Drosophila melanogaster: one gene and its partner. The protein of the gene in region 1 interacts with the protein of each later gene in a pairwise test. Each region holds a gene or a part of one and is shown on either strand. Other genes may lie near its edges.

The links. The genes of interacting proteins can lie anywhere in the genome.
Region 2: the proteins of CG17744 (region 1) and CG17564 interact in a two-hybrid assay, tested with the Drosophila melanogaster proteins (one large-scale study listed by BioGRID).

The regions. Positions count from the first base shown.
Region 1 is NT_037436.4:7,022,817-7,033,314, reverse strand, and holds CG17744 (uncharacterized protein), read left to right. Parts: upstream 1-6,520; 5' UTR 6,521-6,566; coding exon 6,567-6,815; intron 6,816-6,883; coding exon 6,884-7,351; 3' UTR 7,352-7,514; downstream 7,515-10,498.
Region 2 is NT_033779.5:19,295,187-19,306,184, reverse strand, and holds CG17564 (uncharacterized protein), read left to right. Parts: upstream 1-6,251; 5' UTR 6,252-6,457; coding exon 6,458-6,570; intron 6,571-6,742; coding exon 6,743-7,197; intron 7,198-7,255; coding exon 7,256-7,543; intron 7,544-7,597; coding exon 7,598-7,749; 3' UTR 7,750-7,840; downstream 7,841-10,998. Other genes in the region: CG10750 (uncharacterized protein), read right to left, coding at 4,646-4,783, 4,838-5,127, 5,183-5,637, 5,700-5,812.

The sequences.
Region 1 (10,498 bases):
ATAGAGAGACACACAAATGCTCAATGCACATTTGCCCATAAACTCAAGCACTGCAAATAAAAACGGCACAGCAAACACTCCGGCCCAGGACACCAGTTTCAGGAGCAGAAACAGGCGCAGCAGGACTCAGGACCAAAACCGGGTATCCCAGAACTAAGCCATCGTAATAGCAGTCGGGTGTTTTAGTTGCGGCTGCTACTGCTGCTTCGTCCTGTGAATGATAGTAATGGCCGTGCAGCTTTTATCCTGCCGCTCAGCTAAAAAAGTTTTGTCTGAGACGCTAACTCGTTGAGTTTCGGGTTAAAAGCGTCCTGGCACGGCTCACAATGGCTTAATATGCGCCGAGTCTGCGGCGGACTTACAATCTGGATTTTGGAACTCGAGTTTATGGGGGAAGAAAATCAAGTAGTTCCTTGGAATGGCATATTCTTATATTATATAATTTGTTTTACAATATATATTTATATATAGTATTATATATAATTTATATTTTATAAAACTCATAACACTTAATTTTTATTAGAAAAATCGAAACAACCAAATATCATGATCTGTTTTTGAGAGTCTCTGCCCGCAATACTGCAATTCTCAAGTATAAACGACACCAAACTTTGGTCAATGACAATGAGATGGTTTCATGGATGGAGGATATTCTAGCGAACAGAGGGGTAGTCAGGGAATGGGGCGGGGGTGTGTGTGTGTGCTGTAACACACACGTGGCCCATCAATAGACATTGAAGTGAGCATTGTTCGCCATGTAGCTTGTTACTGTTGTGCCATTGAGTGCGGATATTAAAGTTTTTGCTTTGTTTCTGGCTTGGCTTTGTTTTGCTTCAAGAAAACTATGCGCTAAACAAATGGCAAGCCGGCGAAAATCACTGGCTGGAGAGTCGGAGCATGAAAGCAATGTCCGTACTTGTGTCCGGGATTCGTGTCCGTCCGTATTTTCTGTCCGTCCACGGTTCTGTCCGTGTGGCCCAGTTTTCATTGGAGCACGTGTGTGTGTGTGTGTGCAACAAAATTAGCAGCAAGGAAATTCACTTGAAACGGAAATTAAGCCGCAGGAAGTGGCATTTTTTGGGCATGAGTCGACGTCGCCATTTTGGATGTTTTTTTTGCTCCCGCTGGCTTGACTCTCATTATTACCTGCATTTTTGGGGCTAAGTAAATTGACAGCTCTGCCATTGTGCAGTGGCCAAACAAAGGAAACGAGAATGTGCTTTCTGTATCACATTTCTGGGTTTGTAAAGTTACCCAATTTAAAGACCAACACACTTTTGGTTAGAATAATAATTACTGCGGCCATATTGTTACATGTTCATTCGCTTAGCCAAGTTTAAGCTTTCACAGTCCGACTTATCCCTCGTTTCGATGCGGATCTGGCAAAGAATAACTATCTGTGGGCATCGCAAAAAAGGCTTAACCTCGACGGCTCCGAGAACCCTTTTCGACCGCTCCTTGAGTACGACAGAAAATTCAGGGCGATGAACTGATAAGCGGACATCAAAGCCGGTCGCCTCCGCAATATTGTGCACGGCAACAAGCAGCTGCAAAGGCAACTGGCCAACGAAAAAGCGTAGGTAAATAGGTGTACGGAGAAAAATATATATATATAAGTTATATACCAAAATGGAAATGTGTCAATGCGGCTGGTCAAAAAGAACCGCAATTAAGCAAAGTTGAATGGAAAAATAATGAAGGATACAATAAAAGCAAAATTAAAGTAAAATTAAATTGCAAATGAAAAAGATATCTTAAAGAATTATCTAACGAGTTCAATTGAAATTATTATTTCACATACATTTGAAGGTGGTATTCTTAGAGAGTTGGGTACTTCTTAAAACTTGTACACAAAGCTGACCAGCGGTCAAAGAATTAAATTGATCAAATTCAGTTTTTCAGATTAAGTTCATAATTCTGTTCCAGTGTATACAGAAATGGCGAAGGCGCACGACAACAGGCGTTGCGACAGAGGGTCAAGCGCAGACAAAGGCCGTTTTAAATAACGAAAATCTGGCCGCAGGCAAAAGAAACATTTTCGGTGTCCTGGACATCCTGGCAGAATGTGATTTTAAGGTGGGCATTTAGTTTAAATAGTGTCAGGCGGAGAGCAACGGAGGTTGAGCGGTATGGGGAGGGGGTGGCAGTACAAATGGCTGACTTTCGCAGGATGTCTCGGCAGGTCGGTCAAGTGGCGCAGAGTGCTCCGAGTGTGCCGTGAGCAATTAACTGGGCTGAAAGTGCATGTGCACATATGCGCTGCTTGTGCATTTGTTGTTTATTCTGTGCCGCACATAATTAAGGCCAGAAATGAACTGAAATGCGAAAGAAGCGGAGCAAGGACACAACAGGCCAGCAAAAAGTGAGTGGGAGGAGAGGAGGCGAAAAGTGTGGTAATATTTGCGCAGCAGCAAGGCATCCATTGCCTAGCAATGAGTCCTTTTTGCTATTTTTTTTTCACTCTTTCTTTTGCTCCTGACAAGGGATCGCTATGCGTATTGAAAATAAAGCAAATAATACGCAAATCGTTGACCCTTTTCCATTTGCCATTACCACGAAAAAGCAGAAAGGTAGACCGGCCTCCTCAAAAATGCGAGACACGTTTCAGTTGCGAGTTACGGGACAAGGAAAAGGACTCCGCAAATCCAACACTGCGGCTATCTGGCAATTTGTCAAAAATGTGTCAATAATGGAGATCGATTGGGGCTCTTAAAAATTAACCGAAAATGGATTCACATTCGACTTGAAATCCATGGCCGTAACCCTGCAATTGTCTGAAACGGAAACTTGTGAAATGACTTCAATTGATATTTATAGGAACTATAGTATATAGATATATGTGCTTATATATTGGCACTTGTATATTACTTTACTATATTGTTTTTATCAAATTTGAGACAGTATTTCTAAGGTTATTTTATTTATCAGGACGGTAAAAGGTGGTATGACAGTTGCTTATCCATTATTTGAGACTTTAATAAATTTAAATCACTCCTTCACCTTATAAAAGTGTGTCAAACTTTTATTGAAGGTCGTAACTCAGCACACCCATCCTGACCTTAATTATGCATAATAAAACTTAAAGTCTAACTTGAACTATGCTTCCAATGCCATTAAAAATCTTGTACTGCCGTCACATTTCGCTTGTTGTGAAAGTTAAATTCTTAATTAAGCACAAATATTTAATAAGTGAAATTTACGGCATGCAGCGGCATCGAAACAAAGGAAAGCTTTAGGCATGAAGATTACCATAAACTTGTTTCCGCTGACGCTGCTTCTCTGTACCCTATAGTTCTGAAACCTATATTAAGGTATATGAACTATTTAAAACTTAAATTAATTAGAACGAAAGATATTCCATTCAACTACAAATAAATGATTATCGCAGTTGCTGAATCTGGTGATATAATCATATATATTAAATGTATTGTTTTATATATATTTATATATTTTGTATATATACCAAGGGTATTAACAAGTCCACCTGGATTCTGTGCAAATTTGAATTTTTCGCAGTTCGCTTTACCTCTTATATAATGACAATGGCAGCCACTGCCAGGACAAGAGCGGAAACGGATGTATATATTTTCGTTGGAGGCACCTAATTCACCCGCTTGTCTTGGTATTTGTATCTGTGGGTCTGTGTGTGTGCAATTGTTGGCGGTTCTGGATCCTGCGGATTCTGCACTCGCATCCAACGAAAAAGTTATGCTCAAGTTAATAGATAATTAACCATGCAAATTGCCGCGCAACAGTTTACAGATACGGGTCTCATCCTCATCCTCATCCCAACCACTAACCCCATCACCCCGTCGTCATCGTAATTTTCATTATCATTTTCATCCTCATCAGCTTCCAGATTCCAGATTCAGTTTCATTCTCACCATGAATCTCGCTGTGTCACCGGCTACATGCGTAAGCACTTCGTCTACCTGACTGTGCCAGGTGTCTCTGCTCGCTCAAGTACAAAAGAATTAACTCTAATTACTTTGTAATGTTGATTAAGCCTGTTAGAGCGCATTAAATATGTAAGCGACGTTTTGACATTTTCAGCATATTTGCCCGTGGCTTTTAAGTGGCAAAAACTATATGAGTTATGCGTATTTGCCACTTGACTCAGCGGCGAACTAACGCAATTTTAACTGGAATGTGGCTTCAATTATCTAACCGCAGTAATGTGCAAACAATTCGATTTCAATTCGTTTTCAAGGCATTTTCAAGAGCCGCACACAAAATGGTAATGGTAATGCCAATAGCCGAATAACAAAAATGCTAAATTCAAATTCAACTTTATGGCCAACGACGACAGGCGGCCGACAGCCGACAACAAACAAATGCCAATCCTGAACTCGGAACTCCAAACTGGGAGCTCGGAGAACTCGGTTCTCGACCTGGCCAAGGTAGCCGGGTCATAGCATAGTTTCTAAATCACTTTCTGACAGCCGTTTCGGCCCTCGCTAAAAGTCCAAAAAAACGCAAAAAAAAAAGCGCCCAAAAAAATAATCTGAAAAGGAAAACACCGGAGCAACGAGGATAACAATCGCAACGTCAGAAAGTTGCGCACTTTTTGTAATTTTATTTTATTTCCGTTTAAATGCGTGCACCGCCCCCTTGGTTACCACTTCTCACTTTTCGGATGAGCTGGGCTGAGGTTTGGTGCGATTTTAAAGCTAAATTATAGCAACATAAATTTTTACGGCCTCTTTTGCCTTTCAAGAGGCGGGATTCTTTTGGAAATACGAAAATAAAGCTGCCCAGGTGCAGGACTTAATTCACTTTACTCTGCACTTGACTCCAAAGCTCCTTTTTTTGACACTCGACGGCCGTTTCGCATTTTATTTGATGCCCATTTTCATTTTTGCGCCGGTTCTTGTTTTGCATATAATCAAAATAAATTACTTTGCACATTTTGCGGCACATAAATTATTTAAGAAACGGTCGCATCAAAGCGCAGAGAGCATATAACGCAAAACTTGTACATACAACATGTACACGCAACCTCGAGCACATATGGTTCTATGGGGCACCTCTGTATTTAATATACTTCAAAAACCTAATTTAAAATATTTTTATGATTAAAAACGAAAATTTTAGCATGACCATGCGGATATTAGCACCTGTTTCATAATAGGCTGAATAACATGAATCCCTATTTATTTTTAAGAATTTCCCAACTTGCTTCTAAGTCGTCGTTTCTTATAAAAGGTTCTATATTTGTGTAACATTATTTTTAATGTGTATATTTAGCAGTGTCCATGTGCAGCGAGCAGAAGTGACTGTCTAAATAGTGGCCGAGAAGTAGAAATGGAAACACAAGCCGAATATGAAAAGGAGCCGGAGCTGGGGATGTGGAAATGGAACTGAGACTGGAAAAGTGGGTGGAAATGGGGTAGCCGGGGGATCAAGGGCCCTGTTAGGGGACCGAAAAACAATGAGACGGCAAATGCCAACCGCATAGTGACAGATTTTTTTTAATTTTGCTAAAAACCTACGACTAATTCTCAAACGAGCTGACACAAATCTCGAAAAGTTTTTGCGCCAACATTTTTGCAGAAGCGTCTGTCTGCTGGTCCCTCAGTCACTTTGTCCTTCCGCCTCTCCGACTGTCACAGTTCCTTTCTGCCCGACTGTTTATCCTGCGGAGCATAAGCTTCATATATATACACACACATACAAATATACAGAACTGAATACATATATACTAGCTGCAGCAGAAGAACTCAGCGGAGAAGCTTTCGGGCTTATAGAAGAGGCAAAATAGGATTTTATACTGAATTGCTCCAGTTAGGATAGTAAATTATTAAAAAAAAAAAGGGATACTCCCTCAGAAAATTGAAGTTTATTTATTTACTTATTATTTATTTACTTAATCACAAGATTAACTCATTTGTTTCTGTGCACAAACAAAATCCCATAACAGAAAAAATGTAAACTATGCCTATGTAGCATATTTTGTCTAATAAATGTGTTAAGATGTTGTTACACTTTGTTTATTTAGGTTTTTGTGACACTTTTCTGCTCAATGAATTTATTTCTATATTTTCACCTTCATATTTATGCTGTTCTGACCCCAAGACCGAATACGAAAAGCAAAAGGGTTAAAATTGCATTTTATTGTGGGTCAAAAGTGCCAACTACAATTAGTTTAAAACGAGAAAACCTGTCAAATAAAAACAAAACCTAAAATGTAACATGCTAAAAAACGAACATATTATGACCAAGTTGAAGATTTTTTTTGTGTTTATGTTCCAGTGTGTTGGTTTATATGTTGATTTAGACAGTTTTATAAACCCAAAAGCAAACAGATAGTGTCAACGTTGCGTATACGCAGCGTAAGCCGTTCTCCCGCGGCAGCTGCAGTTAAGGCAAAATATGCACAATTTTAAATATATGTATATATGTATATAAAGAGGATGTGCATAACTGGTCCTGAAGTGCATGGTGAAAATTCAGGAGGCCAGGCGTTTTCTGAATTCTACTTCAAAACAAAAATTTTGGTGCTAATACAGCAATATTTTTACTCAAACTCGCAGCTTCAACTTGCCACATTATATTTTTTTTCCACCATGGAGTCTGCTAAAGTCCTAAATAAACTATTGAAGGAAGCTCCCAAAGATTCTAAAGGAAGCAAAGAGATTGAAGAGTTACGAAACCTGATCATAGAGCTGATGAAACCACGACTGGGACAACTACTTCAGATACTAAAGACTCGCATGATAGCTTCCACTCGAGATGAGTTTCAAGATGAAAATGAAGACTGGTGGCCAGATTATGAGCTATTATCAGCAGACTGGAGAGCCTTCACAGATATGAATGTAAGCAAGAGTTATTAAAAAAACGAAATAAGAAAAAACTAATAATATATTAATAAATTATACTACAGGGTCTTTTAGTCTGCACTCAGAATGCTTTAAAGGGACTACCGGGTGATCTTAAGGCCATTGGTGAAAAGTTCGATTATGCCTATTCCGTTGCAAAGCCTATAACTGCTCGAAATAAGACCAAAAACTATTTTTTAGTAGTGGAACTTATAGAGGACATGGAGGACTTTGTAACGCACCTCAGCCGCCTGTGTAGCAAGAATCTGGACGAGCGAAGGGACCTATACGATCTGGCTTCGATAACTAAAGATACTGGCGATAGAATCAAGGTGAAAGTCTTCGATGAACGCATCTTTGTGCAATTGCAGTCGCGAATTGCAAGTCTTAGGAACTACATAAGGGACTTCTGTGCCCTTTTCGATGCCCACTTGGAGTCCGAAGAGGAGGATGAATTCGAAACATTAGATATGTTGGCAAAACCCCAAGGACCACTTGCCACGGGAACCAATGCTGATAAGGCCCGGACTTAAGCCAAATCGATCAGGAAGTCATCTCACCGTCTATTCCCATGGCATGGCTTCCAACGGTTTTCATTGTACAATACCCACACTTGGAGCTACAGAACACAGAAACATGACTCCGGCATATGGGCGGTAATAAAGAGTTCGCCTCCAGTGTATTGGAGTATCTGGGAAAGCTTTTTATGCTTCAAAGTCAATATAGTAGTGTGCCATGTACAGAGCGCACAGTTTTAAAACGGTAAGTATGCCTTTCAGTTACGTGGTCGTGTGTGGTGACACACTTGCCCCTCCGCACCATCCACTGAACAGCCCTACGACCCTCCAACAGCCACCCACCCACTGCCCCTTGTCAATGGGCTGTTAGTTGCTCCGAGCACAGACGCCATTCAAGCGGAAATGCAGCACCGAAAGCCGGCTACAAGCTGCACTGAGCGAAATTCGTACAAATATTTGAGTGCTAAATGGTAAATGGTTAATTCGCTGCTTACATTGTAAGTACGACATATAAATTGTCATTGAAAAAGTTAGAAATAGGAATTGTTCAGAAATTTATGAGCTGTCGCTCTTAAGAGTTATATATATATAAGGAAGTATATATAAGGAAGCTAGTATGCGAAGGACTTACATCCAAAGCCATTTACATATTGATAAACCCTTGCTATTTACTGATTTTTATTAAAATCTTGCAAGTTTTAGCTGCCTTTTACTGTGTAAGTTCTATGAACGGGCGCACGGCAACGACCAAAAAAGAGCCAGAACCATAGCCAGAGGCAGAAACCTCCATGTGAAGTGTGTCATCAGTTTAAGGTTTTTGTGGGCAGCACTCGCACACAGACGGCAATCCACTCATACTAACACGCCGAACACGCACACAGATGCACAGGCACAGATACAGGCTCAGAGGGCCGGAGAAAACGATACGGAATACGGAGCTCCACTCACGAGACCGAGCAGCCCGTATTTTCATAATAAACAAATGGGTTGTATGGTTGGTTGGCTTAACTTTCGGGCTGCCAGCAAGTCGCAGATAGCAGATAGCGACAGCCACCGCTCCGCATTTGTTAGCGCAAATCAGTGCTATTTATATTGCGGCAGTGGAAAGGTATATGGCATGGTTTATCCTGGGCATATCTCGCGCCATATCTGAAGCACCAGGCCAGATCCCCAACGCCCCCGGGGGCATCACAGTGCGTGGTGCTTGTCAACACGCTTGCCAACTGCAGTTCGCCGCCGAGGGTTGCATCCAATTTGCTGAGATACTTGGCTACTGAGATGCAAATGCAGATGCATCCTTTCTTGAGAAAAAAAAAACAACCCTCCAGCTACCTATTTGCAATACTTATAGCGTGAAGCGTAACATTTGTCTTCAAAATACATTTTTTTTGGGAATGGTAGGACACAACTACGTAATAAAATAAGCATATTCACTCACAATTCTTATCTATACAATTTTCGAAGGTAAATAGGTTAAGATTGTGTTACGTTAATTTCAAATTTATAATAAGATATCAAATTGTTAGTTTACCCATAAAACCCAACCCAATTATTTGTAAAAGGTATCTTTAATTTACAGGCTGCGGGTTATCAGCATTCGCGATATGCACACAAAAGTTGCAATCTAAAGGGAGCAACTTCCGTTGCAGGTTGTCAATGCAACAAGTTCAAGAAGCGAAAACTTTACGTTGCCTATCGCAGCGTCAGAACCGCAAGAGACGGCTAAAAGTTGTGCTATCTATGCCATCAAAATTGAGATACCACCACCTACGCCATCGTCCTGCAACTTCTGTTCGGTTCGGTTCAGTTCGTTTCTGTTCTGGCTTCTGGTGCGGCACAATAATAAATTTATTACGAACTCTTTGGCGGGGCGTGTCGACGTCGTCATCGAGCTCCAGAGCTCCAAGTTCGCTCTGGATTTCGCCTACGATTCCTTGGGTGCGTGCAACTCAAACTCCTGCCATTTGGTTGCTAACCCGTAGTTATAGTGGCATGCTGCGCTTTAATAAAATATTATCATAAACGTAACGGAAGCTAGTTTTTCATATGCTTATATTCCCAGCCCGTGGAAGAAGCTTTCACAAATATCCGTATTTTTACTCCGGTTGTGTTTCTTTTCTCCGCCCTGTAGGATAGCAACGGGAGTAATATGTTTTCATAAATCAAATGTACGGAGCGTTGCTCAATATTTAATGTTTTGCCTTTCGGAATTTATACACATCAGGAATGTGGGGATTAAATTTGAATTTATCTCAAGTAAAGCCAGAGAGCACGACACTCATGAATATGAAAATCGTTTCTTTTAGTCAACTTCAGAATTTTTTTTTAGTTGAAGAAGGAAGCTATTTTTCAGGCCATTGACTTTGGATTAGCTTCTATTTAGTGCAGAAAATGAAATATTTTATAAATGACTTTTCAGTGGCTCCGAATAAGGAATTTAATTTTGAAATAAATTCAGCAGCCCAGTTTCGGGTTTATTTGCTAGTAAACTATGATTCGATTCCCAAGAATTCTCCACTGGCATTTCGTTTCTCTTTTAGCCGGAAACTTTCCTTCTGCTTCTGAGGCACTCGGATATTTTTATAATTTATTGCCAGCCACGAATGCACATATATGTACCTGTGTATTTGTCTAGCTAAATCTAGGGGAATGCTTTTCCGGTAGTTTTTTATTGCTCAATCGAGAATCGGATAGTGGGTGTGAGTTAATGGTTGGCTACTTTCTTTCCATTCGACAGAAATGTCGATGGGTTGTTCCTTTTGGAATATGTCTGAATGCGAGTGTGAATGGCTTTTTTATGCCCACAAGGATACCATGCCACATAATATATGCCTTATTAATTGGAAATGCGCAGCAGGATTATCGACTAATACGTGGTGTAACACAATGCTTGTCATCCCATAAATGTCCAACGAGTTTCGACGAGTCGAAATTGCTAAATGCATTAACTATAATTGGCTTTCGCCTAATTTCGCTTTTGGGTAATTAGACACTAATGAAACCTAATAGACCTCGCCGTGCCTCCAAAAGCCACATGTCTAAGCCTCGGGAATTCGGAGAAATCAGTCAATAAGCCAACAACCGCTGGCAGTGGATAACCACCTCGTATTAAACAAGGACAAATTGCCTGTCAATCTACGTGTAATTTTTATAAATTTCCAA
Region 2 (10,998 bases), on another chromosome or scaffold:
CGAGTGGCGAACTTCATTACCCAAACCCTGGGAATCGGGAGGAGCAAAACCATCAAAGAGGCTTTCAAGTTTGACCACAAGTGTTGTTGTTGTCGTTACCTAAAAAGCTTCCTTTTTCCTACCAGCGGAGGGGATGGGGGATGGTTTGCCTGATGTCTGCCTCGTGTCACTTATAAACTTCACTTTAAGCTGTCAATATTTATAAATATTTACACGCCACGAATGGTGGCAGGATTGGCTGTGGGTGCGGGATGCGGGTTGGGGATGTGGGAGTGGGCAGCCTTGGAGACCTGGTGACCTGGGTTCTCTGGAGTGGCGCTTGATGGTTTTACGTTTCCATCTAGGAAGATTATGGCTCTGACATGACCTAGACTTGCAGTAAAAGGAAGCAGGTATTTTATAACAGCTCGTTTTTTTGGGGAGCTTAAATAGGTGGTAAAGTGATGGCTTTAAGACTTTACGTAAAGGAAAACTTATTTTACTTAGTAACTATTTTTTTTGTGCTTTAGAAAAGATAACTTTTCTGCTCGGATATTCTACTTAAAGAAGAGGGCTTTAAAAGCAAGTCGGTGGAGTTTTTAATCATTGTGCATAATATAGTATCATATCCTGCACTGTAAATAAAAAGATATTATTGGCCTAAGCCCCAGGATTTCTTTAACATCCAGCCGGTGGTTGAAAAAGGCTAATCCACATCTGACAATCATTAGGCGTAATAAATTTCGGCTGTCATCCATCTAAAACCCTTTCGAAGAGACTACCTTGTGGACCCCGACTCCTCCAGGCGGATAACAAAGGAAAACGATAAAAGACAAGAGCTCGCTTCCTTAAAGTCTGAATTCGAGGGCCATAAATGTGCAACATAATTCTCGGGGCTCTCGATTGGAACGATATTTTTATGCAAATTGTAATCAAGGAGCAGAGGGCACACAATCGGAATCACACACGGGCATATGCCGAGCCCAATTCGAGCCAATAAAATGCGAACAAATGCCGCTTGGATAAGTGTAAAATTTACAATTCCAATTCCGCATCCGTTTTCAATTTCCCAGCAGTTGTGCCGAGAGTCTTTAAAATCGAACAATGGCCTGGAAAATTGTTAGGGCTTAAGCAAGGGTCTGATAACAATGGGACTTAAGGAACAATCCCGCAGATGTTTAACACATATTTTGCACAACTATTTAAGCCGTTGATTTCGACGCCCAATGAAATTAAAATTTTTCAATGCGATTTGTGCTGTATGATGATTTGTATTTGTATTCCTCGCAGGGGTTGATCTCTAATGAAGCCATTAAGGGTAGGCAGCTCCTCCATCTTGGCATGTGTGTGGTTAACTTTCGGCAAACACAGAGGTCCATAACTGTTGTCGTTCCAGCCGGCAAATGAATAAATTATCAACTGTGTATGTGAGGTAGGAAAAGTCCTTCGGCCCCATCTCCATCCCATAGTTGACTCCCAGCTTGAGTGTGCTCTAATTGCAGCTCCTTGTCGTCGGGCCATTAGAAGCCGGCACTAATGGCTCTCATTCAGGGGGTGGTCGGGTGGTCAGGTGGGTGGCCAGGTGGCTGGTTGGGTGGTGCTCCGGTAACTTAAAGTCACCAGAAGCCGCAGTAACATTAGCGCATAAAAAAGGCATTTGTAAGACATGAAAGGTACTCAGTCAAGTGAGTTGTGGGCGGCAGGTGGCATTTATCTCCGCCCACCAACTCCGATGACACATTAAAGGCAAGCAAATCGAATTCACGAATAAATGTTACCCTACAAATTAAGGGAGGTTACCAAATAACCCAAGCTGGTTTAAAATCTACTGCATTCCTTCAAGATTAATTTGATAAAGGTGACAAGAAATTTGAGTTTGAGAAAAGCTGTTTAAGTATAACTCGTTATTTCCAGAATACCTACCAGCTCAAAATATTTGCCTGTTGCTCCAATCTCCAAGTACAGCATACCCCGTGAATTGCTTGGCAACGGGGTACAAAAAAGGAAGACAAATCAATGCAGGTGTCACAAATGTCAGCCGACAGCTTTTGGATCCCTTCCCGCTTCCTTTGAGAGAGGATATTAATGTCGCCAAGTGAATTGATGATGCCGATTGTTGTTGTCCCAGGGCATAAGCCGATTTGCCATCTTATCACAGGCCCCGTCGCCCGACGACGACTCCGTCAGTAAATCCAGCTCCATCTCCGACACTCCAACGACAATTCCTATTCTGATTCCGATTCCGATTCTGACTCTGATTCCGGTTTCAATCTCTGAGGCGAGCTTTCATAAAGGGACCCCCCCCCCCTCCACCGATTGACAGGCATAATAAATCATGTGTTATAGTATTAATCAAGCTCCTTCTGGCTTCTTCGACTGGTTGCTCCTTTGACTGCTGAGCCTGCCATTGTTGTGCCGGATAATCGCTTGACATTTATTGCAGCTACCGGCAGGATGTGCTCGCATCGACTTAAAGTCCTCGCTTCAAGTTGTCCTCGCAAAGTGTCCTTTAATTGCGCCTATTTCGTCTGCTCCTTTCGGCCTGCCAGTCGTGCATTTTGCAGGCATTGTTTCTCTAATTGCTATTTGTCGCCAGTGTCCCATACAAGTGGGCAGCCATTCGTCCTCCGCCGCCCAACTTTTCTGTCTGGCCGTCACATTAAGAACTTGTAAAGTTAAATTAAGTGTTTCGTCTAGTAAGCGGGAAAAAAGCAAATGGCAGCAAAAGCGCCAAGAAGCTGCAGAACTTACGAAAAGGATAATTGCGGGGGCGGAAAGGTAGTTTTCCCTTGCTAATAGTTGTCTGCTTTTAAGAGATATATTTGTTAAATTTTAAAGGAAAGAATTGGTTAGAATTCAAATGATAGGGAAGATAAATGTATTGCATTTTGAGAGGAGGTTCAAGTTTAAATTGGAAGGAAGAAATTCAAAGGGTCTGCTCAAACTAGTTCTGCAAAATGTGTAAAAATGGGAGTCTGAAATATGCTTTGCCCCATTTCATGTGCAAATTCTACATCACATTGCAGTTTGACATTCAAAGCGCATAGTTTATCTGCAAAGTTCGAAGTAATTGGGACAACAACTGTGATAAACAATTCTAAAGCTCAATTTCGAAACTGAAAGTATTTCAAGAAATGCTCAAGCAACCCTCGCATCAGCGTGGCCTCGTTTCACCTACACCGCATTGCTGGCAATATTATTTAATTCGCAGACAGTTAATTGTAATGCAATTAAGGGATTAGCTGGGAATGCCATTAGGCTTTATTGTTCATATGAACAGGACAGAATGAATTGGTATCTGCGATGATAAAATTCGGAGAAGGCGGCGGCTGCTCATTTATCTAAAAGATTCATTTTAATGACAGGCACTTCAAAAACTCAAATCTAAGCGGGCATAGAATGCGTTACTCAATTATTTAAATTGCAGGCAACAAATCTAAAGTGTTTGCATGATTTTACTAAGAGCCAGCCCCATGCCGCCAAGCAATTTAATGTAATTGCTGTCGCACTCAAAAGTAAAATCCGAAATGTACAAAAAATGACTGCCGGGCGCTGTGGGCCAACTTGCGGGCCAACTTGTGGCCCATCCATACGGTCCATTTAAATAAACCAAATGTTTATTTTGCCGAACTACTTCGATTTCGATCGCTTCGTCTTACCATTGCTTTTTGTTTTTTATTCTTGCTCGAAATAAATGTCTGTGCATTTTAGTTTGCTTTCCGTTTGATTTGATTTTTAGGCTACGTATATCGTCGAGTGTCCTGTCGGTAGTCCTGGGAGTTTTCCTTCGGGCTGATATCAGCAAAAATCGCAAATCAAATAAAGCAAATTGAATAAGAGACAAGTGCCACGCCTCCGCTGGCGACTCAACTCAATGCCCTGGGTGGGCGTACGTGTGGGCGGTAGGTGGAGCTGGAGCGGGGGCGTGGCAACGGTTCTCGGGCACAAAAATTAGTTGGTAGTTCCATTCGAGCCAACGTTGTTGTAAATGCGAGGACAGAAATCAAAATGTTCGCATAAAAGAATTATCTGTGCTTAAGTTAGATTATCCCCGGGCCATAGAATCCAATTGGCAATTGAATGGAAAGATGTCGCAGATTCGATTTGCCAACTTTATTTTCTTGCCCATCGCTTTGTCCTTCCCTGATTTGAAGTTCGTGTGCCACTTGAAAGTTGCCCAGCCTCTGGTATCTCAGTCCTCGAATGCATTTCCTTTTTATCGGATTCCATTTGATTTTCTTTTGGGCACGGAACAACAATGCCCAACCGAATGTTGTGGGTTCTCTAGTTTTTTTTTTTTTTTTTTTTTTTTTTGGGAGGGCTGGCAAGGTTTTGGGGTTAGACAAATGTTATGGGTGCCATAAAGCTGAAGGTGGAGCGCCCATTTAAGTTCTTAGGAATGAGAGTAAATCTGAAAGGATGTAAGGCCTCTCGGTTCAAACAAAAAACCCTAAACAGTTTGGAGCTCATAAATCAAGTCGTACATTTATTCCTTCGCTACAACCCTTCTAATCTCTGATTCGGCTGAATTTTTTTTAAATATTTGCAGTAAAAATAACCCAAACGGAAATTAGTAAAAGCTATTTGAACTTCGTTCCATTAATTAAAGGATTTAAAATCATTTATTTATTTATTTATGCTCCATGAAAAATATTATATTTTCCGACTAGCACATACGTCCAGCGCCGACTTTATCGCCCTTATTGGACTCCAATTCCTGGAGGACCGATGAAAGAAGACTTATTTCGCGCATGATGAAGCTCATGATTTTGTCGATCTCATAGCTGTGGTAGCTGGGAACAATGTCTGCGGGGGTGGAGTTGGTACATCAGCTAGAGTCAAAGGATTTCAAGGACATACCTCGACGTTTGCAGAGCATGCGGTACAGGATTTGAATGCCATCAAACATGCGCTCCTTGTCCAGGTTGTAGAGCGACGTGGTGTCCTTGCAGGCACTTAGTATCTTTTCCCACTTGAGGCAAGTGGCCCGCGAGCTGACATAGGAACGATCCAAACGGGCCAGATCGTTTTTGAGGCCCAAAACGGTCAAGGCCGCCTCGCTGGTGATCTGAACCATTCGCAGGCGCATCTCCTCGATCTCGTTGAGTTTCTGGCTCTCCAGCTTATTGATCTCCACCTGGGCCAACACTGCACAACAAAAACAAATTTAGAATGGAAATTACAGGAGGTGTGGAGAACCCACTTAGAGCGTCACATCGATCGATGCAGTCTTTCGTTGAGATGAAGATGTCCGACACCTCGACTACCTCCTCCAGGACCCTCTCGTATGGCTGAAACTGAGCCACCGTGGCCTTGAGCGCATTGCGAAAGGTGCTCAGTTCGGCAATGGAGGTCTTGAACTCGTCTATCTCCTTGGTGACCTCCGCGTGGAGAACGGTCTCCTCGCGAATCGACTTATCCGCACTGCGCTTTTTGTCCGCACAATCCTTGATGAATCCATTCACCTCGACGAAGCGTTTGCGCAGGCGCTCCTGAATCTTGTACATCTTGCGAATGCGCTGCACATTTAATGCGGCTTGCCGCTTGGCATCTTTGAGTAGCTGGATCTGAACCTGCTTCATGGCGTCGTACTCCCGGAGATTGGCTATGTACAGCATCTCGATGTTATCCCCGGCCGAATCCCAATTGGGCGGTTTCCTAGACCATCCAAGTTTCATTAATAGTATGACTTACATATTGTAGTTGCTCTTTTAGCTTACACGAAGAATTGGTCCTGCTGGCGAGAGACGCGATAGTCATCGATGGCGACCTCTGGACTGAGGTCCAGATCCCCGATCACATCGGTCTTAATGGTGGGCTTACGTCGCGGCATCTTGTCCTATTAAAATATAATCTTTTCAAATATATTGATATATATTGGGGGAATATCTATTGGAGAACGATGTGTGATGAGTAATTCTACATGTATATGGGCAGACAGCACAGTCAAGGATAAAAGGATTAAACCATTTTTTATTACTACATTCAGATATTTATGCAATTGCTGACGTTTCCTTCATAAGTACGACCAGTCGTTAAATCAAGTAAAAACAATTGAAAAGATATCATAATTCTATAGTTGTTGATTAAAAATTAATCATCATCGAGTATCAAGAGTATATTAGGTTCGGCTTGCCGAAGAAGCTTCCTATTTTGTTTTTTCGAAAGAAACCAAATTGTGCAGTTACCATGACACAAAACTGGTTACACCTTCTCAACCATTGCCACGGTAATAAAAGAACCTCCTGGCAACCAATTGTTTTTATGTGTCACCCAAATAAAAAACATGTTCCAAGTAGGTCTTGTTAATTTTTATTACAAAACAATAACACACTTTGAAAAGTAAGCACACAGCACACACAACTACTACTACAAAACGCACAATCCGCGCTGTATCGCGGTAACCAAAGCAAAAAAAAATATAAAAAACTAACAAAAACGTACACTTGAGCTTTTACTTTCGGCAAAGAGATCCAAGATGCCCCGCGTGAAGCCCACCAAGAAGCTCGATGTTCTGGGAAATCTGGACCTGCGGCCGGAGGATGCCGTGGGGGACTATATCAGCTCTAAGCAGCAGAACAAATTCTTCGTGTAAGTAGTGAATCCCACACTGAAAAAAGGCTGAAAGAGAAGTACCCAATCCTAAAATGATCCTGGTAGTGCAGTTTGAGATTTTTGAGAAATTTTACAGCTTCGTAATTTACTGTTGCAAGGATGTCTCTATCTGGTATCAATTATTTGACCTATTCGTAACTTCCTGTAGAATTCCACCGAACTCGGACTCTGCCGGCGACTCCATCGAACTGATATATGTGAACAATCTCCGCGAGCACGAAGCCATGCTCAAGCTGCAGGAGGAGATGCTGACCAGTGCCAAGCGGCAGACCAAGCTGAACTCCGCCCGGGTGAGGAACATGTACAAGATCCAGGAGCGGCTGAGGCGGCGCTTCATCGAGGTGAACAGCTTCATCAAGGACTGCGCGGACAAAAAGAGAGTGGCCGAGAAGACCGCCCAAGCGGAGACGCTCAACCATAAGGAGCTCGGCGAGGGCATTGAGAGCTTCAAGGACTCGATCGGCGAACTCAAGGCCTTTCGGGAGGCTCTCAAGGCCACCGTGCAGGAGTTCCAGCCCTACGAGAAGGTGCTCGACGAGGTGGTGAAGGTATCCGACATATTCGTCTCGCCAAAGGACTGCACCGATCGCTGTGATGCGCTGAGTGAGCATTGCTAATTTATAAAATGAAATAAAGTTATTAATTTTTTTTTGTTCTACAGTGCTGGCTCAAGTGGAGATCAACAAGTTGGAGCATCAAAAGCTCCAGGACATCGAGAACATGCGGCAGCGTATGGTGCAGATCACAAATGATGCGGCTCTAACTGTGCTGGGTCTAAAGAACGATCTGGCCAAACTGGAACGATCCTACAACGAGTCCAGAGTGCAGTGCCTCAGATGGGAGAAGATCCTGGCCAAGACCAAGGACGCCATCAACAACAACTACATGGACAAGGAGCGCACAATAGATGCGATTACCAACCTTCACCGAATCCTTCTACGGCGAAGAGGTTAGTCAAAAAATCTTGCTATTATTAAATAATTTATTCATTTTATTATTTTAGATGTACATTCGTTTCCCGCTCGCGGCGACTTGGACAAGGTGTTGGATGCCATCATGGGCGAAGTGGAAATATTAACTGGCGTTGTAAAGGAAATCGAATCATCTGATCCCTCGATAAAGCACGAGGAAGCCAGAGATAAGTCGCTGTGCTAATTGGATATCAAAATTCAAAGAGTTCATAGGGAAGACTAGGCACACCTCACAGCTATTACAACTATAAAAGCTTATTAAAAGCGAAACTTTTAAAACGTTTGTTTGTTTCTATAGAAAGAAGTGCTTTGTGTGATGGTTCGCTGCTCTTAGCCTGCTCCTGCAGCTTGTGGCAATTGTTAATTGTGCTGAGCTCTGCATTCGGTTGTTAATGCCACTTTCTAATTGCTTTTACCTCATAAATCTTCTCCGCTGCTCCTCAATGCCTCCGTCCAAGTGGATGGTCCGAATTGGGGTCCTGGAGCGGCTTTCGTCGCGTCCTGCTCTGCAGTCATCATAAGTCACCGAATTGTCGGGCACTCAAGACAAATGTGACACTTGCTTATTTAATTAGAGATCTGCAGGCGGGATGGAAGGCCAGTACTTAAGCTCCAGAGTCTGTGCATCAACTGGACGACATTTAGCGCTAACTGCGCCAACTTCGCTTGACGGCTTTTTAATTACGTCAGCCCGGGAAATGTTCCTCTTACCACTGCTCTGCATGACAATTAGCCGGTCTAAAAAAAAAAACCCGCTCTCTGGTCAATTGAAAATTTTCTTGCTATTTTTCAGCAGGGAAAAACTTTTTTAATTACCACCGAAAAGAGACGGTGACAAAAAACAATAGTCGACCATTCGGCCGGCGGCTCTGATTTTCAATTATTTATTGACAGGAGTCTCGATTCGTCGTTTAACCTGTCGAACTCTTGACACGACCTCCGCTTTTTCAGCAAATGCACAAGTTGGGTTTGGGCTCAACACTTTTGCTGCAATGCAACTTTAATGCCGGCTAACTGACAGATTCAACTTCAATAATTGATGCGAAAATGCATAAAACAATTTCGATAAAACAGTTTTTAGATGTCATCGTGTTAATTATGCATATGCTAGAAAAACAATCCCTTTGACCGGCAAAATAATTGGCTTAAACATTTGAATTTGTGCTCTGCCAAAAGTTTGCACTTCTTCAGTGCGAGGAGTGGCAAAAATTAATCAGCACCACAAATTATCGGGATGACAAACGCCCTGCGGACAGAAATAAGTTTGAAAACATCCATACACATATGCGATTCAGAATATGTTTTTAATACCCCAACCCACTCGGTTTCTCTGACATCTTTATGCCATGTCGGCTTCTAGTCGTGTTTTGGTTTCCCGGTGCCCGCTGGTGACATTTCCGCTCTGCCTGGTCTTTGGGTCTTCGGGATTGGATTGCCGAAAAAAGAAGGTGTAAGAAGTCGGACGAGGTGATGTATGGAAACATTTTAATTAATGCTGACAGCTGGAAATGTCGCGGCCACCTTTTGTTGTGTAAATTTCATCGACTCGAGGCGTTGGACTCTATAATTATGATTGGATATCGTTGCACGTTCCTCGCTCCCACTTCTTTCTATTTTCAATTTGCCCCACCCGTTTGCTTCCCCATTGAGCAGCACGTCACTAAATTAATCCGCTTAGCAGTCGCATATTCCCCTCGATGTTTACCCGACCAGACAACCCGAGCAGACCCCATCCGAGCCCAAAGAATCAGATTCGGAGGAGGAGGAACCGGCCAGACGCTTGACCAGACGGTTAAGCCTTAATCCTCGATAGTTGTTGGCCCTTAAACTCTTCTAGGGTTTCCATCGCTCGGGCGTTTTTTTTTTCTTCCAGGTGTCAAGGTGAATGAATGGCACATCGGGGAGTTGGGGACACCAACTCCACTTGACCGGGGAGCTAATTAATGGGTCCGATTGTTAGGTAAATGCTTGTTATATGAATACAGATAGCATAAATTGAGGATTAAGCACACAACTTGATTTCATTCAAATCAATTGAAAATTTATTTCTCTTGCGATAGAAACCTCATAAATAAGTGGGAAAAGATGAGACTTGCGACTAATATATGCATATGAATGCATTTCGATTTGATGCACTTGCAAATTAGAATTAACAATACCAACAATAAAGGCTTTTTAAAATTCTATATGATATTGCATATTCAACTTCTATACTTTCCAAAATCCTATTTCGAGTCCCAACAACATTATAGACTAATGATAAATAATCCAGAAAGCATCAATTTGCTGGTCTCCAACGGGCAACCTCCTCAATGCCAAACGAAACTATTGACCCTGTCCAAGTCGCCTTAACCTTTGCTGTGCCCGTCGGCAAGAACAAGTGAGCTGCTCCTGACCAACGATTTCCATTGTAATAACAATATATAACACACAAATTTGAATAACAAATTAACTGCTACACACGCACACACCATCTCCAGTACACGGGTGACATTCGGGAAGTCTTGGGGACCACTCCTCGTCCTTCTCCTTGTGGCGTGGAACTGGAAATAGCCATTCGAGCTGGACTCCTGTGCGATACAGCGTAGGACATCATACAACATGCAATATAATTGAATGCCTGCAGGATGTATAGACACATGTGTGTATATGCGCCATACACAATATACCAGCTAGCCGGCTACCATAGCCACAAAATATTTGCTTATGTGGCCCAAAGCAGACCATACCCGACCCGACCAGACCAGAACCAAATCCAAGCCGGAGCTGAGTTCGAGCCCAGCCCAAACAGCTTTCGACCACCAGCCAAATGTGACTTTGCAGCGTCAACGTCAATGTTGCATAAATCAACACACCGACGATGGCGATGCCAATTTTGTGGCTCCATATCCGCCCCCGAACCACTGAGCCACCCAACCACCCGACCACCGAACCCCACAACCCCTGAACCGCCGCACCACCGCCGTCTACTTGATTGAATATTTCAAGCTATGCATCTTTAATAATGCGCCACGACGGCGATGTCGATGTCGATGACGTTGCCTCGGGCCAGTTTGTGGCACCGGCCATGCAAATGCAAATGGGCAAATGTAAAATGCAAACTGAAAACTGCAAAATGCAAAATGCACAGTGGCCGTCGAGGATGTAATTTGGGCGTTTTTTCCGTCTTCCTACACTAAACTGACCGCTGTCTAAGTCAGGCACGTCAGTACCGACTCCTGCCGGTTTATGGAGCTGGAAACGCCTTCTAATCAAAACCGACTTGACTTTTATTTTCTACGTGCCGCCTTTTACCCTTTCTTGAGGTGGGTAGGTACACTTTTTCCGAGAGCTCTGATCTAAGAGAATCGAAATAGGTCTTTTTAATTAAGACATTCCGTATCCTTTACAAAGGGAATCCACAATAGATAGTCTTATTCAAGGATTAGATTAT